Linked DNA regions of Caenorhabditis elegans. The protein of the gene in region 1 interacts with the protein of each later gene in a biochemical or structural test. Each region holds a gene or a part of one and is shown on either strand. Other genes may lie near its edges.

What was found. Proteins that work in one complex are often made in the same cells at the same time.
Region 2: of the proteins of syd-1 (region 1) and elks-1, one has a biochemical effect on the other in vitro, tested with the Caenorhabditis elegans proteins (one study listed by BioGRID).
Region 3: of the proteins of syd-1 (region 1) and rsy-1, one has a biochemical effect on the other in vitro, tested with the Caenorhabditis elegans proteins (one study listed by BioGRID).

The regions. Positions count from the first base shown.
Region 1 is NC_003280.10:7,591,874-7,596,481, forward strand, and holds the start of syd-1 (Rho GTPase-activating protein syd-1), read right to left. Parts: upstream 3,040-4,608; 5' UTR 3,036-3,039; coding exon 2,960-3,035; intron 2,798-2,959; coding exon 2,694-2,797; intron 1,715-2,693; exon of another isoform or gene 1,436-1,714; intron 368-1,435; exon of another isoform or gene 222-367; intron 152-221; coding exon 109-151; intron 13-108; coding exon 1-12.
Region 2 is NC_003282.8:3,347,007-3,351,942, forward strand, and holds the start of elks-1 (ELKS/RAB6-interacting/CAST family member 2), read right to left. Parts: upstream 3,022-4,936; 5' UTR 2,913-3,021; coding exon 2,903-2,912; intron 2,419-2,902; coding exon 2,298-2,418; intron 2,163-2,297; coding exon 1,917-2,162; intron 829-1,916; coding exon 639-828; intron 591-638; coding exon 482-590; intron 102-481; coding exon 1-101.
Region 3 is NC_003279.8:11,215,975-11,223,552, forward strand, and holds rsy-1 (Arginine/serine-rich protein PNISR), read right to left. Parts: upstream 6,022-7,578; 5' UTR 6,002-6,021; coding exon 5,956-6,001; intron 5,815-5,955; coding exon 4,787-5,814; intron 3,278-4,786; coding exon 3,097-3,277; intron 2,168-3,096; coding exon 1,919-2,167; intron 665-1,918; coding exon 399-664; 3' UTR 203-398; downstream 1-202. Other genes in the region: Y53H1A.2 (C2H2-type domain-containing protein), read left to right, coding at 6,425-6,433, 6,535-6,615, 6,667-6,999.

The DNA.
Region 1 (4,608 bases):
GTCCTCCGCCTCCTGAAAAAATACCATGTTCAAAATTTAATTTAATGGGTATTTTCTGCTGAGAACCTATATTTTCTTAAATCGTCTAACAAAAATTCAAAGACTCACCGGGAGGCGGTTGACTGGCATTCATGCGACTGCGTGAGGCGGTCTGAAAAATAGAACGTTAAATAAATAAATTGATTAATAGTGGCAACGTTATTGAACACTTAATGTTTTAAAACACGAAAGAGTTTTGGTGGGGGTGGTTGGCGTACCCCTTACATGCACATGAAGGCACAACGGGCGGTCCAGAGTCCGAGCAATGAATGCTTTGGGTTAGAAAGGACATTGAAAGTAGAAATAGAGGAAGATGGAGAGATAGAGAGATAGAGAGTCCTAAAACTACACACAAAAATTAATGGGTCCTTTTTCGCGTGGCTAGTCCTGCAATCTCCCAAAACTTTTTGGTTTATCAAAAAGAAAACCGGCAGATAGAAGTTCCTGAATGAAAGGAGCAATGATGTTATTCACGAATAGCGCAGAAAAAGGAAATGAATGAGAGAGAGTTGAATGGAGAGTGAGAGAACTAATAATTTCAGGAAGCAGATGGAAAAGCTGTTGTTTTGTGTCCAGGATGAATTTCGAAAACAAATACGCGGGTATACTCGAATACTCAAATGGTTTCACTTTCAGAAACGCAAATAAAACCGCTATAAGTGTGAGAGACAACAGAAAGTCGTTAAAAGTGAATGGATCTAGCAATAAAGTTATGAAATTTTATTCGACTTTAAATACATTTTTTTGAGTTTCTTCGAGAAAAAAGGGTTGTGTGAATAGTTGATAAAAGTTGATTATCTTTCACAAAAGAATGTTCAGATCTTTATTTTGATGTCTTTTTGTTAATAAAACCAAAGGCATTCGAGATACAAGCCGTCAGAGTAGAGCAATATGGGTACAAATTTAATAGGAAATCACCATTTTTATCATACTTTGAGAACAGTTTTTTTTTAATTTTATATTAGTTGTTCATAATGTTCAAGGAATTTAAATTAGAAAATATACAGGATATTATTTTATATGTATGTATATCAACTTCAAATTTTCCAGCATACTTCTAGATTATAATAGTTCACAAGACGTTTACATCAATTTATTCTGGTGTGTCTTCATAATCTAGGTTCAAAACACTTTACCCCCACTCGAACATTTTCACTTAACCCAAAAAATTCAGGGATTAGCTAATGTTCTCACGGGGGACTTGAAGTCCGAGTGTGCATTCATTCAAAAAAATAGAGCAGAAGAGGGGGACTAGAAAAAAGAAAGAAATCAGTGAGCTCCCGACGCCCTTTTGCTACTGCTACTTGCGGTGTCTAAAACTTAGTGGAATAGAAAAAAGAAATGAGGGAAGAAGTAGAAGAAGAAGAAAACGGCGATGGAATGGAGAAGGAAGAGACTGGTGATGGCGACGACGGCTTCTCCTTCTTCGTCGGAGCTTCGTCGGTGGCCTCGTCGCCATCCGTCTATCGATCTCGTTTCCTTTTAGTTTCGAGTGGGCACACACATATACACACACAAGTCGCCGTTGCTCTCTCGTCTCCGCGCAGTTCAGATAGACGGCATAGAAATTTGTGATACGCAGAGGGAGATAGAGCGGACCAAGTTGAGCCAACGGCTACTAGCTTCTTCTTCGTCCTCTTCTTTATACTTCTCCATCTCTCCTCTTGTTTCCCATAGTAGTAGCCGCTGTTGAGTCACTCTCTGGGAGACATGCTCTTTCGTTGCTCATGCACAAAACGACGTCCCCCCCCCCGTAGATTTCGAATCAAGTTCAGCTCACACCAAACGACATCGACCCTCTTCGTCTTCTTCCGCAAAGACTTCTCATTATTATATTTAAAATGTACCCACATCAAGGATTACCATAGAAGACGAATGAGAATATATATTAGAACTTGAATCACATTGAAACACTTTCTAAGACATACATATTAATTAATATATATATGTGTGGTTAATTGAAAGTTTTCAAACTTATGGCAATGATTTTCAATTCATTGTGTCCTATTATATTTAACCATTATAAAGAAACTGATTAAAACACTTTGTTTTGTTGTAATGAAAGAATTCTAGATTTAGTTCGAAATTTAAATGTGGTATTAGGATCTCCTTAAATATATACACAACATTTTGGAATTTTTTACAACTGTTCCTTTTCCAGTCTTCGTTCAGCTTTCAAGTTCAACAACTTTCATAAGACACATCAAAAACCATATTTCAGAAATTAAAACATTTTTTTACTTTACCTGTTCACCTTCATCAGGATTTTGAGTTTTCCAACAATACATGTTTGTAGAAAAATAAATATAAGTGAGAAAACAGGAAAAGAAGAAAAAACGAAGGTAGTAGTAACAAAACGCATAAAGATTTATACCGTGGCAACTGATTCTATGGATACACGAGAAGAAACATAGGAATTGGGTATTGAGAAGCTGAGGGGAAAAAGGTTTGTCGGGATGTTCGAGCCGAAAGTAGTTCTTCTTTTTCTCCTCTTTTAAGGGAAAGAGTGCACTGATGCGAGAAGATTAGACACCATCGAAATTGAATTTCTCAAGAACTACGGCAATCGAGTTTCCCCACTTTTTTTTCCGACCGCCTGCCATGCACAACAGAAATAAATAAATAAAAAGAAAAGAAACTGATGAGTGAGATACCTGATCGACTGGAGAACAACAACACAGTAATCTGCATAACCAACAGCAGCAACATTCGTTTTGTGGTTCTTCTGTGTAAAGGTAGGTTGGTGGATATGGCATTCCTGAAATGAAATATAAATTTTATTGTTCTTCCGGAAGTCTGCTTTCATTTTTATTCACACATTATTGGGGGTCAGTCAACAATAATGAGCACAACGTTATTTATTTATAAGGGTGACATATATCCAAATGAACATTGACCCTTCCTTTATTACCAAACATACCTTTTGGTGGATTGGTGCCACCGAATCCGTTGGATGTTAACATTGTCAAGAACTTTAAACTTGTGGATATGAGCATAACTCTGTACATATTTAATTTGAAGCAATAGAAGTGTCATATGTTTGAATTATAATTGAAAACATTTATTCAAAAAATAGTTTTCAATAATTTTCAGTAAGAGCCAATCAGACGAAGTGTGCGACGAAGTTAGAAGTTTGGTCTGAAGGTGGGCGTGGCATCTCATTTTAAAGAAAATTCAAAAAGACAATTTTTGCCGAATTAAAAAAAACAAGTTTTCAAAAGTTTAACTTTTCATTCTTTCTGAATTTGTTCGTTTTTGATGATATTTCGGAGTTTGGACAATTTCTAGTGTTTAAAAAATCCTCCATTTATACTACCCCACATTTGAAACGGAATTCATCCACCTTTAAAAGGTAATTTAACGGTTATTGAAAAGGAAAACAATGCCATTTATTTTTCAATTACAGTTTTTAATAGCCAAACCTCTATTTCTACAATGGAGAGGATATGAAACAGCGTTTAAAACAGAATGAAACAAAAAAAACAAGAGAATAAGAATCTCAATCTAGAATATGTTGTTATAGTGACACAAAAGAGACAGATGACATCTCATAAAACATTTCAAATGCAAAATGGACTCAAATGAAACATGAGAAATTATAAGGTTGATGACACGTTTCAGAGTATTTAACGAAAAGTCAATAAAAGGAGGGACCTTCTTCTCCTCTTCGTTGTTTAGTGAAAAACCGAATCGAAAATGGCGTATACTATGAATAATAGCAGGAAATTTGGAGCAATGGAAATTGGCGAGACTGACTGGATATGCGGGCAATGGAGAGAAAACAAAAGAAATGAAAAAGGAACTGAATATATGGGATGAGAACGAGACTACATAATTCTCTCATGTCCGTTCAATGATCGATTTGAATCGGAAAATCGTTTAATTGGAGTTTGAACGAAATCGAATGAGCCCTCAGCTTTTCAACTAAAATCGAAGAAAAGATGGGAAGAATCTGAAAAGCCAAGTGATGGATGTTTCGGGCGCATCTAGAAAAATGAGTTTTCGTAAAATCGGAGAATGAAGTCTTTTTTTTTGAATGAGATATTTGTGTACTTTTGAAATTGAAGATCTTAAATTTACGAGTTTTTCTTTCCAATAGCCTTTTTAGCCCTTTTAGCTCTGTATTACTAGCTACTTTTTTAATCACTTACTTGAAGGTATCGCCGGTTGGGAAGTTGTTTAAAACCTTCATATATTTCTAACATGACCAAATGCCATAGTACTACTTTTCGGAAAAACATTTATTTCAATTACTTGTATTTGCATATATACATAGTAGAACCAGGTACAACCACGCGAAAACGCTGAAAATTTTTCAAAGAGCCACAGCTTTAAGTCAATTTGGCATTTAACCAAGATTTAAACATTTTCAAAATCTAAATACTTTCATAAAATTTATAATGATTTTGAGTGATTTTAAATTTTTTCATCAGTTTATTTGCATCAAATTCCCACCACCGCTACCCCACAGTTAAAATGTCAAAATGAATTTGGTCAACTTTACAGAAAAAAAAGTTTGCATTAATTTTTTTGTTCATTAACAAAAAATTTCAGATTTACATAATTATC
Region 2 (4,936 bases), on another chromosome or scaffold:
TCGAATCCGTCCGTCCATGCCACCGGAGCCGGATTCTAAAGCTGTGGTGAGTTGGCGAATGCGTTCGTCGCGTTCTCGGAGTTCCATTCGGAGTTGTAGCGCTGAAAGAATGAAGACTGTGTAAGAGATTCCTAGGCCAGGTGGCCCTAACCATAAGGAAACCTACAAAAACATGGGTACCCTAGAGCCTTACAGATTTAATCGGTAAGGGGTAAAGCACAGCCAAGGCTTACTTGACGGTAGCCTAAAAAGTCCATGACCCTGGTAGCAGAGGATTTTATGTTTTTAGGATCTTAAGGGCGTTGTTCTGCTTCTAAGGTGTTGGTTTCATTCGAACCAAGATCTTGACCTTTTCAGAAACATTGAACTCCTGGGACCCTTTTGTTTTAACTTGTCATCCGCTTGGGGTTAACAAGCGTTTAAATTAACTTAATTTAATTGCAGGCTTTGAAGCTTATTTTAAAAAAAACACCTAAATTACCTTCGCTAGAACCTAGGCCGTAGTCATTACCGCCACCTCCTCCCGACTGAACCATCCTCTCCAGCTGCGCTATCCGAGTGGCTTCATCACGCCGCATTTGCCTCTCCCTCTGGAACAATTTCACATAGCTAATCATACACTACGGTAGCTCTATTACCTTTAACTCGGGACTCCAAAACGTTTTGATACTATTCATAGTCTGATTTAGCTTCTCCATCATTGTGTCGTATTCGACTTTCAGCTGCTCGTACTCTCTCGCGATGTTCAGGCCACTTCCAGTGCCGGTGGGGATTCGGGATATGCCTGGTTGCATTAGGTCGTAGTCTTGGACTGATGTGGTGGCCATGCTGAAATATTGGAAAATTGAGGAAAAAAGTCTTCCGCGTGTAATATTACACAAGTTTCTACCGATGCTCTGGCCCTGGGTGTTGCCCTTCAAACGCTATAACTTTTTAGCTATTAAACATTTAAAAAAACATAAAAATTTGTTGTAAACTGGAAACATGCTCAAAATTAAAAACTGCACAGTTTCCATGTTGACTACATTTTTGTATCTATTCTTACCTAGGAGATAAGAGGGATTGAAGACCATCGTATCATCCCAGGTAGGCAAGGCAAGTGAAAAGGCAGAGGCTGTTTCGGATCTAACTTTATTGCCTTTAACGATACGAGTTTTTGTCAACTAACAAAATGCTCAAAATTAAAAACAGCATAATTTGTTAGTGGAAAATTTTTTTGTACCTCTAACCTCCTCGACGATATAACAGTTCAAAGTAAAATTACATAATATTATTTGAATCTCCAGAGCTCCCCCACCCCACTTAAAATTCATCTGTTTTGAGCCCCCAATTTTTTTTCGGAAGAGAACGTCAGCAGCAGTCAATGTGTGCAAAAAAATATATATATATACATGCATATTATACTCCCATGAGAGATGAGGAGCAGCAAAAACCCGCAAATTCTTTAAAAATTGGAGGAAATTCAACTGAAAGAACAAAAACTAAAAAATGTTGGTTTTCGGAGGGTCCACCAGCACCACCCCCCCCCCCCCCGCAAATTAAATTAGGTTAGGGTGGGGTCTTGGAGCCGTAGATTTGTGTCGTTTGTGGTGTGTTAACTGGAGGGGGAGGAAGAAACGGTATAGGAAGAAAGGTAAAAGCCCTAATGGATGATTTAGAAGACGGCAGGGTCCTGTCCGACAAGCACTATAGAAACTGGGATCTAGTTTAGGCGGCAACCAAGTCAGGAAATTGACAACGCCACTGGCTTCTGATGGGCAACCAATACAAATTAGACAACACTAAAGGCTCTTAGGATCCTGGCATCCCTAATGACAAGCACACTGACTACTTTTTGTCTACCAGGCAGCCTTACCGACAACCCGGCGACTTTAGAAGCTGTCGACCTCCCCGAATACCCGGCACCCCTAACTAACCTATTATTATGCTGCCAGAACGCATTCTGCGTGGGAATCGGATTCGATAACGCCAGCGATTGCCCACGCTGGAACTGTGTTGGGTGGTGATGTGGTGGATGGTGATGTTGACTTGTGGATATCTCCAATGGAAGGTATGATGGCTGATGTAGAGGTTTCGGTGGAGACGGCTGGAGCATCATATCGTAGTCTAGGGAGTCTTTGTAGGCGTCCAGGACACCAAGGCCGTCCATCGAGCGGTGTTGCCTGGAATTGGATGGTTCTTAGGTAGGCCTCGAGAGTAGTTGGTCTTCGAGGGGCAGGCTGTAGGCCCGTTGGGAGACAGAAAATTTGTGCTTGGTCTTAAATTTTCCTCAGTTTATCCCTAAAAAAGCTACTCACCGTTGCAGTGGGCGCCTCGACGCGGCGGATATGGATGTATGGGGTGGGACTGATGGATAATTCATCGGGTTTCGGCCACTGGAATTCATCACCGATGTTCGGCTGCTGTATGGTGCGGGACCTGAAACGAAAAATTGGAAAATTCTTTTTGGAGCGCACTTGTTGTAGAATTTTTCAAAAAGGTTGTGCCAAATTTAACGAAACGCTTCAACTCTTTTTGCATTAGAGCGCCCTTACATTTTGCGATTGGCGGGAAATTTGAAATGTTCTTTCCAAATTTTTATCAACACACTTTTTTTTTCAAGAGATTGCACATTTTTAGCAAAAACCTCCTCGGTTAAACATTGGAGCACACTGAAATTTGGAATTTTAACAAGCTTTGCAAAAATTGGCATAACTCTGCGAGTTTTGGAGATATGAGAAAGTTATCAACTAACAAACTGTGTGAAATTTTGTGATCTACAATTAGTTAGTCATAAATTTTTTAATAGAGTTTTCAGTTTTTGAGATATTCATGCTTTTCTGGCGAAAAAAAAATCAAAAAAAATTTTTTTTGAGCGAAATTTGTTTAATTTGCAAAAATTTGCAATCTTCTAAAAACTCACCAGGTGCCATATTGTACTGCTCCGGGTAGTTTGATGGTCCGGGTACGTGTTCGTTGTAGGACCACTCGGCGTCCAAGCCGTTACCGTACCACCCGCCGCCGCCTCGATCCAGTTTTTGACTGAAATTTTGAAGTTTTTGAGAATTGAGGAGAAGAGAAAAAAGTTAGGAGAAAAATTATATTAAAACAATATGAGGAAATATTGGTTAAATTTGGAAATTTTGAAAAAAAAACAACTTTCAATTTTTATTTTTCGAAATTTATTCTCAAAATATACTCAAATTTCCCGCTAAACTTTTCACTCCTAATTTCAGAATACAAATTTTCCACTATCAATAACCCAAAAACCAAAAAAAATCGTTCAAAAAGTCCGGCCGGAAGCAGCAAATGTCTTGTGTAAGTCAATGTATGCGCGGGGTGCGCGGAGAGGAGAGAAAGAGCCAAAAAGCAAGAGAGCCGAGAGATAAAGAGACGAAGAAGAGACCTAGATGGTTTGACAAACAGGGAGAAGGAATGAGAGAGTAAGAGGAGTTAGAGAAAGGAAGGGGAGGCGGATTGCGCGCGGATAAGCATGAAGAAAACAGAGGAGAGGGGAGGGGGACTGTAGTGGCGGAGTCTTGGTTAAATTTTTGAATAATAATTTCCCCAATTAACAGAATATGTTTATTCTTAATTTGTACGGAAAAATCCAGAAAAGTTTCGGTACCGCCTCAGAAAACTGAGTATAACTTCAAAACTAAAACGGCTAACAAAAACATTTTAACTAACAAACTGTTAAGCACAAAATTTCGCACATTTTGTCTGTTGGAACCTTTTTGGTAGCTATTACCATTCTAGAGATATAGGGGTTCAAAGTTGAGGAGTGCAAAGTGTGTGGAGGAGGGGGAGACGCAGGTTGTCTCGTCGACTGCGTCTCACCCTCCACCACGCTCTCACCGCACTATGCTCTAAAATGCGTGTATCTCTGGAACGGTTAAAGATAGTAAAGTGAGAAATTTGGTTTTCTATTCGAAAAACATTTTTTTCGATTTTTTTAAATTATTATTCAGCAATCTTACATATGTTTTCTTAAATTTTCCATACTAGAAAACTTTAAAAAAAAGGCAAAACTCTTGACTCTGACGCCAAGACACAAAAATTGTAGGGAATTGAGAGAAAAGTGTCGGGGAAAAGGGATAGAAAAGACGAAAACAGTACGCTCAGTGCGTTTTTTTTGTGTTTCTTTCAATGTTCAATGATGACAAATGGAACGGAAAATTGCAAACGTTACGATTTATTGGAGGACAGGGGTTTTTTTGAAAAAAGAAAAAAAAGTATATTGGGATTTTTCAACATTCTGATCTTTTTTCTCTGTTACTCTATTTTCTAAGCTCTAACCGTTCCAGATACATATATACAGCAGAGAGACGCAGACAACGAGACTGTCTTCTCTGCCTCCTCACCCACTCTCCACACTGTAAACGCCTATTAATAAAACAAAAGCAAAAAAAAGAGAAAAAATAAAACGACTTGCGCAAAGGTCTCTCCCCCCTTCAATTTCGGTGGTCCATAGTACTACGTTTTTGGCAAAAAGATAGAGAAAAAGGGGTGGTGAGAGTCCGAAAAGAGCTTTTCTCTGCGTCTCCATTGTCTTTCTCAAACTCTCTTTTAGGGAGTGCGTCGAGTAGTTGAGCTTTTGGCATTGAACCAGAAGAGATTGGAGAGACGCAGGAAAAGTAGGAAAATCTGGGGATTGAAGAGATTTAATATTTATTGCAGAAACATTTAAGGTGAAAAGTGTATTTTTACGTTGTTTTGCTGATTAGAACTTTTTGAAAAAAAAAGTTCCATCAACAATAATCCTTTAAAAAATTTTCTAACCCAAAAATTATTCTTCTCAAAATTTTACACATTTATCTATCAGTTGACAACTTTTTAATAGCTATCACCGTTCTCGAGATACGGGGCTTGAGATGGGGACCTAGAGAGCGTGGAGGAAGGGGAGACGCAGAGTGTCTCGTCGTCTGCGTCTCCCACGCTCTCTCCCATCTACAAT
Region 3 (7,578 bases), on another chromosome or scaffold:
ATTTTAGTAATTTTTCCAAAAATTTTAAATATTTCAGCGGGAAATTCGAATTTTCAAAACAAAAAATTTGGCGCGAACTTCAAATTATTTTTAATATTTTAGCGGGAAATTCAAATTTTAGTTATTTTTCCAAAAATTCAGGCGCGAAATTAGAATTTATTGTGCGATTCTGAAATATGCTGAAACCAAAAACGAAAAAACAAAACTTCAAAATACATTAAGCAAAAAAAAATCAATGGGAAAATGTCATCATAGGTAATACAAAAAAATAATTTTTTGGGAGTTTTCCAGAAAAACGGGCGGCTTTGAACAATGAGAATTTGGAGCAAGAAATTGGTGGAAAAAATCGGCGGTAAAAATCGGAAAAATCAATAATTTATCGTTAAAATCAATAAAAATCAACGTCGACTATGCCGATCCCTGTCCCCCCGATCCCTCCGACGTTCCGAACTTCTCGACCGTTTTCGACGGCGATCCCGTTCCGAAGATCGGCTTCTCGATCGGTGATTATGTCGTGATGAAGATTGCTCTTTTTCACGACTTTTCGATCGTTTTTTGCTCTTTTTACTCGATTTTCTCTCCTTCTCATCGTCTCTCATCTCTCGTTCTCTCTTCTTTTCCGACGACGATTTTTCCGATTTTTTATTATCGCCGTTTTTTGAATCTGAAAATTTGAATATTATTTCCGGAATTTTGTGTGTAGATTGTGTAGTTCTATGTAGTCTAGAGAATGACTACAAACTACAAAATCACATCAGCCTCAATCAAGGTTCAAACTACAAACTACAGACTTTTTGAAAGGAAATTTCTAAATATTTAGCCGAAGACTACAAACTACAAAATCAGCTTAGCCTAACCCAAAATAGTAAAATCCCAATATTTTGACTACAAACTACACGTTTGCGAGTGAAAATTTCAAAAATTCACACTTTTCATTTGTATTCTTTAAAAAATGAGTAAAATATGAAGAAATCTAGGTTGAGGCTGGGAAATATGTGTAGTTTGTAGCCTCAACCAATTCAAAAATTGGTTGAGGCTCACAGACTACAAACTACAAAATTAGAAAAAAAAAATTTTTTGGATTTTTATTTGGATTTTCAGAGATTTTATTGAAAAAAGAAAAGAATTTTTGAAATTTTTTAGATAAAAAGTGAGATTTTCCCGAAAAATCTCTGCTAAAGTGAAGAAAACTTGTAGTTTGTAGTCTCCGGCCTCAACTATTTCAAAAATTGGTTGAGGCTCACAGACTACAAACTACAAAATGAGCAAAGCCTCACCAAATGTTCAGGAATGTTCAGATTTTTTTTTGGATTTAAAAAATAGATTTTTCGAGTTCTAGAAGCGGTTTTAACTGAATTTTCAAAATTTTTCAGATTTTCCGAAAATTTCTGAATTTTTAATCCAAAAAAAGTGGAATTCCAGTGGGTTTTTTGGAATAAAATATTATTTTTTTTGGCTGAAAATTGGCGCTCCGAGACTACAAACTACAAAACCATTCTGTCCCAAAAATCCAAAATCCCAAATGTCCCAAAATCCCAAAAAATTTCAGTTCAAATTTGGCGGAAAAAAGTGAAAATTGTGAAGAAAACTTGTAGTTTGTAGTCTCCAGCGCGCCTCAATTATTTCAAAAATTGGTTGAGGCTGAGACTACAAACTACAAAATAACATAGCCTCACACAAATATTGAAAAAACATTTTTTTTTTGCAGATTTTCCTGAAATTTTTGAATTTTTAATTCAAAAAAGTGGATTTCCAGTAGGTTTTTGAAGTTTTTTGGCTGAAAATTCGCGCTTTAATAGACTACAAACTACAGAAAAACACATTTTTGACGCTAAAATCGGGGAAAAAATTAGCAAAAATGGTATTTTTTTCAACAAAAAGTGAATATATTTTTATATTTTTCATTAGTTTACCTTACCTGGAACGTGTAAATCATCAACACCTTCACCATCATCATTAACTGATGGTTTGACATCATCTGTCTTAACACTAAACTTTCGAGGGATACCCACGGGAGCCTTGAACTCTCCACCACCAGCTTCTGGTGTTCCTGCTTCTGCTGCCCCTGATGCTCCATTTAGCTCCGCCGAGCCACTGCTCTCCTGCCGTGGCTCCATGTCGTCGCCAACTCCATCGTCACTGCTGTTGTCACTATCCTCACCGTCTCCTGGAAAATTTGAAAAATTTGAATTTTTTGAAATAAAATTTCAAAAAATATGACATTTTAGCTCTAAAAAACGTTTTTTTTTTTAACTGAAAACTCAACTTTTTTTTTGCAAAAAAAGGCTTTTTTTATTTGAATTTTAGTTTTACAATTTTCGAGAAATTGAAAATTCACATTTTATGGAATTTTTAATCGAAAAAATTGAAATTTTTAAACTAAAAATTCTTTTTTGGTACATTGTTCGAAAATCGTTTTTTATAACGAATATTTAATTAAAAAAGCTTCTGAAAACCGATTTTTTCCAAAAAAAAAAAATGTTTTTTTGAAAACTTTTTCTGAAAAATTTGAATTTTTAGGAAAAAGAAGAGCTTTTCAGGAACTTTTTGAACACAATTTTTATATAAAATTAAAATTTTCTGGAAATCTAAATTTTCGCTATTTTTTTTTGAAAAATTCGATTTAAAAATCAAAAATTTTACTTTTTTTTTCGGAAAATCTCAAATTTTTCAACCAGAAAATTCGATTTGTTTCAAAATTGTAACTGTTTTAAATTTAAAAAAAATATGGAAAATTCGAAAATTTTAGAAAAAAGTTTTTAAAAAATGTGAAACTTTTGAAGACAATGTTGAAAATTTTCGTTTTTCGAATTTTTTAAATCAATTTTTAAAAAACTTTTTGAAATTTTAGCTCAAAAAACTCGATAAAATCGAATTTTTTTTGTTTAAAAAAATTTCGTCGAAAAATTGGAACAATTTATGAATTTTTTATGAAAAATTATACGATTTTCATAGCTTTTTGGAAGAAAATTTCAAAAATGTTAAAGTTTTCGGTTTTTTTTAAATTAAAAACTTGGAAAAAACTTTTAAAACCGAATTTTCTGGTCAAAAAAATTGTTTTTTCCGAATTTCGAATTTTCGCGAGCTTCTCCATACCAAAAGCCGCGAGAGCCGCCAACGCTGAGCTGTTGCCGATGATTTTCGGCGCAGTTGCCAATTTTTTCCGTTCAAATTGAAGTTTTTCGTGCTCACGGAGCTCTTCTTGTATTATACGCATGATGACGTCATTCGAAGACTCGAGGAGCACGTTCATCATTAGAGTTTTCACACAGCGTATCTGGAAAAAAAATTTCGAAAATTTTTTTTTTGAAATTTTTAAGAGGTTTTTCTCCACTTAATGGACCTTTTTTAATTTTTAATTCAATTTTTTTTTTTCAAAAGTTCTGTAGTTTGTAGTCTAACAGCCTCCAAAAACGCGAGCCTCAACCAATAGATTTTTTGAAATTTTATCAAAAATTCGGTTTTTATTGCATTTTTAAAGGTTTTGACTGAAAAATTCTGAAAATCTTGGGAAGATTTTAAGGTTTGTTTTCGAAATTTTTGTAGTTTGTAGTCTAGCGGGCATCAAAATTATAAAATTTTTGAAACAAAAAAATTTTTTTTACCCGAATTTCAAAACTTTTTAGAAAATTTTTTAAAAAATCTTGAAAAAATTGAATTTTTGAAAATTTAAATTTCTGTGAGGCTGTCTTAAAAATTGTAGTTTGTAGTCTGAGCCTCGACCAATTTTTGAATTGGTTGAGACTACAAACTACAAATTGTCATATAGCCTCAACAATGTTTTTTTTGTAAATTTTATCAAAAACTGGGTTTTTTATTGGAATTTTTATGGTTTACGCTGAAAAATTGAGAAAACCTAGGGAAAATTGTTTTTTTTTTTTAAATTCATGTAGTTTGTAGTCTAGCTGGCATCAAAAACGCCAATGTCTACTAAAATGTCTAAAATTTTAAACTTTTTTGAATTAAAAATGAAAAAAAAAACGATTTTTTTGCCGAAATTCAAAAGTTGTATTGAAAAATTTATTTTTTTTTCAAAATTTAATTTTGGTGAGGCTACCCGAAAATTGTAGTTTGTAGTGTGTGAGTCTCAACCAAAATATTGGTTGAGGCTGAGAGGCTACAAACTACAAATTGTCATAGCCTCAACCAATAGATTTTTTGAAATTTTATCAAAAACTCGGTGTTTTATAGGAATTATTTTTAGGATTTAGGAGTTACACTGGAAAATTCAGAAAATCTTGGGAAAATACAATTTAAAAAAAAAAATTTCTGTAGTTTGTAGTCTAGCCGGCTAAAATTTTCAAATTTTCAACATTTTTTTGAAATAAAAGTAAAAAAAGAAACGATTTTTCCTCGAAATACAAAAATTTCATTGTAAAATTGATTTTTTTGTTCAAAATATAATTTTGGTGAGGCTACCCGAAAATTGTAGTTTGTAGTGTCTGAGCATGAGCCTGAACCAACAAAAATTGATCAAATTTCGTCGGTTTTTTCTCGATTTTTTTAGCAATTTTCTCTAAAAATTCAGAAAATCTTCGACAAATTTTTGGTTTTTTCTCAAAATTTTTTGTAGTTTGTAGTGTGTGAGCCTCAACCAAAAATATTGGTTGAGGCTGAGAGACTATAAACTACAAAGCTGGATTTTTTTTTTCAAAAAATTGGTTTTTTTTCTCAAATTTTGAAAAATTTCCTCTAAAAATTTAGAATATCTTCGTTTTTTCTCAAATTTTTTGTAGTTTTTAGGTTTTTTTTTGCGGAAATTTCAGGAATTTAGAATTTCCCGTACAAATTGCTCTCGTCTCTCCTCCAAATCGTCTTCCGAATCATTATCATCTTCCTGATATTCAGATTTTCCATTACCAACAGGAAATTTCTCATTTTCCGGGCTCTCTTCATCCGACGAAGAGTCAAATTTGCTCTTTCCAGCTTCGGCTCTTCGCCGGGCTTTTTCTTCTTCCGCTTTCTTCAGCTTTTCCTCTTTTTCCCACTGCTTTTGCTTCTCCCGTTCGGCCTTTTCAAGGCCTTCCAGGATCCAGGCCGGCAGTTTTTTCCGGGCCTCTTTGTTCATTGCATACGGGTTTGTGGGCCCTGAAGCCATTAGTGGAGCCGGTGGAGGCACACCTTTCGGGCCAGCTTGGGCCGGGGGTTCCGGGGAATTTTGGTAGTTTTCGGGCTGGAAATCGGGCTGGAAATCGGGCTGCTGAAAATCGTGCTGGACCGAGGGGCTCTCCTGGAAAAAGTGCAGCTGCGGTGGTGGACGTTGAGGTGCTCCGAAGAAGCTTGGAGCACTTGAAGCCGCCGCAAAAAGTGGCTTAGGCTTTTGGGCCGACGGGAATAGGCTTTTCGGTGGTGGTGCCGCTGGAGCCTGAGGTCTTGGAGGCCCTGGGTAGTGCTCTGGAGGTCTATGTGGGCCTGGGGGGCCTGGAAAGTGCGGCCTTGGTGGCCCTGGCGGAAAATGTTGTGGTGGGCCTTGGAAATGATGTCCAGGCGGTCCAAAGTGTCCGTGGTGAGCTGGTGGAGGAGCTCCACGCCACGTGTCTGCTCCCTGTGGCGGTGGTGGTGGATATCCACGAGGCGGGCCTTGATTATGATATACGGGGGGCCCGGACGGCCCAGAAGGCCCAGGCGGCCCTCTCCACTGCTCGTCCCGATTCGCGGACCAATCGCCCCAATCCTGATGAGCCGGAGGGCCCGGATGACGTGGCTGATGCCACGGGAGCTGATGATTTTGAGCGAAATCGTGTGAATTTCCGGCTCGACGATCGTCTGTGTCGCGCATCGCCATCCATTGTTGGGCCAGCTGGGCCCAGTCGACTGGAAAATAGACGAAAATTAATTTTTAAATAAATTTAAAAAAATTTCGCGAAAATCTCGAAAAAAATCGATTTTTTCGTGTTTTTTTGCCAAATTTTTCGATTTTAAATTCAATTTTTCAATAAAATCACAACGCCATACCACTTTCCGCCGGCTGTGCCTGATGATAGTTGGTCCAATCTTCCATTTCCCTCGTTTTGTGATTTTCTGCAGGAAATATCGATCTTATTGGTTTTTTTTGGGAGGAAAAAGGTGGAAACTAGCATTTTTTAACAAAAATTCGAAATTTTCAGCTAGATTTTCTATTTAAAAGCTTTAAAAATGCGCTGAAAATATTCTAAAATAGAATTAAATCGAAAAAATGTCGATGGCCGTTCCTTTACACGAAACCTAGTCCACGGCCACGCGGCCACCGAATTTTATTGACGGCGGCTTTCTGTGTGATTTTCAGATACTTGAACGTGTTTTTTTGTTTGTAATGTGAAGAAAATGAATCGATATATTTAATTTTTGGAGAAAAGTGATTTTAAATTCCAGAATTCCTGCCGAAATCCGACGTTTTCCAATTTCGTGTAGAAACCCATTCGAGGGAACACAGCATGCGCCTTTAATGGCTACGGTAGGTTAATTTAATTTAATTTAATTTAATTTTTAGCAGCAATTTTCAACGATAATAGTTGTTTTTTGAATAATTTAAATTTAAATTTGCTTTTTTTTCAGATGACAGAAAGAAAACAGGATTTTTCCTGTCCAAACTACATGCTTTTCGGCGATGACTTCAATTTACAAAGTGGAATAGAGGTTTTTCCCCGAAAATTTCTGCAAAATCACTTTTTTTTTCCAATTTTTCAGGATATTTCCTGTTCCTCAAACTACACATCAGACGAAGATGGACCAAAAGTGCTCACTACAATGAGAAATATGTTTGCGGAGCAGAAAACCGACGAATATGAGCTGGTCTACGACAATAATTCGCAAAATGTGCCTCAAAATTGTTCACCGAAAAATCAATATTCGCCCCCGCAATCTGTGCAACAAGCTCATTATTCGAATTTATCACATTTTCATCCTAGAAATCCAGAATTTTCACAAGAAATCGTGGAAAATCGAGTAATTTCTCCAAAATCTGAGCATCCGGAAGAAATAGAGGATCACGAAGATGATGAGGATGGCCAAAGTGAAATGGTACTGATAAAAAACCCCGATTCTAACAATTTTTGCCCTGAAAACATGAAAAATCATCAAATTTCAGCCAATAGGACGAAAATTCGTTTGGTTGAGGCTCACAGACTACAAACTACAAACCGCAATCATTTTAAATAGGATTTTATTCAATTTTCGCTTAAAAATTAATTTATACTATTAAAAAACCTAATTTTCAGTTGAAAATCGTATTAAAAAATTCGTTGAGGCTAAAAAAATTGTAGTTTGTAGTCTGTTAGCCTCACCCAAAACATTTTCGACCAAAAAAAAAACGGTTTTCCCCAATTTTTTGTATAAAAATGAGTAAAAACGGCTATTTCATGATATTTATTAACTTTTTACGATAATAACCTTCAATTTTTACGAAAAAAATTGGTTGAGGCTAGAAAAATTGTAGTTTGTAGTCTGTTAGCCTCACCCAAAACATTTTCGACCAAAAAACTGATTTTTCTGCAATTTTTTTATATGAAAATGACTAAAAACTGCAATGTATTAAGCTTATAACTCACTTTTTCAATCCTAAAACACCAAAAACTAACGCAAAACTGGTTGAGGCTAAGA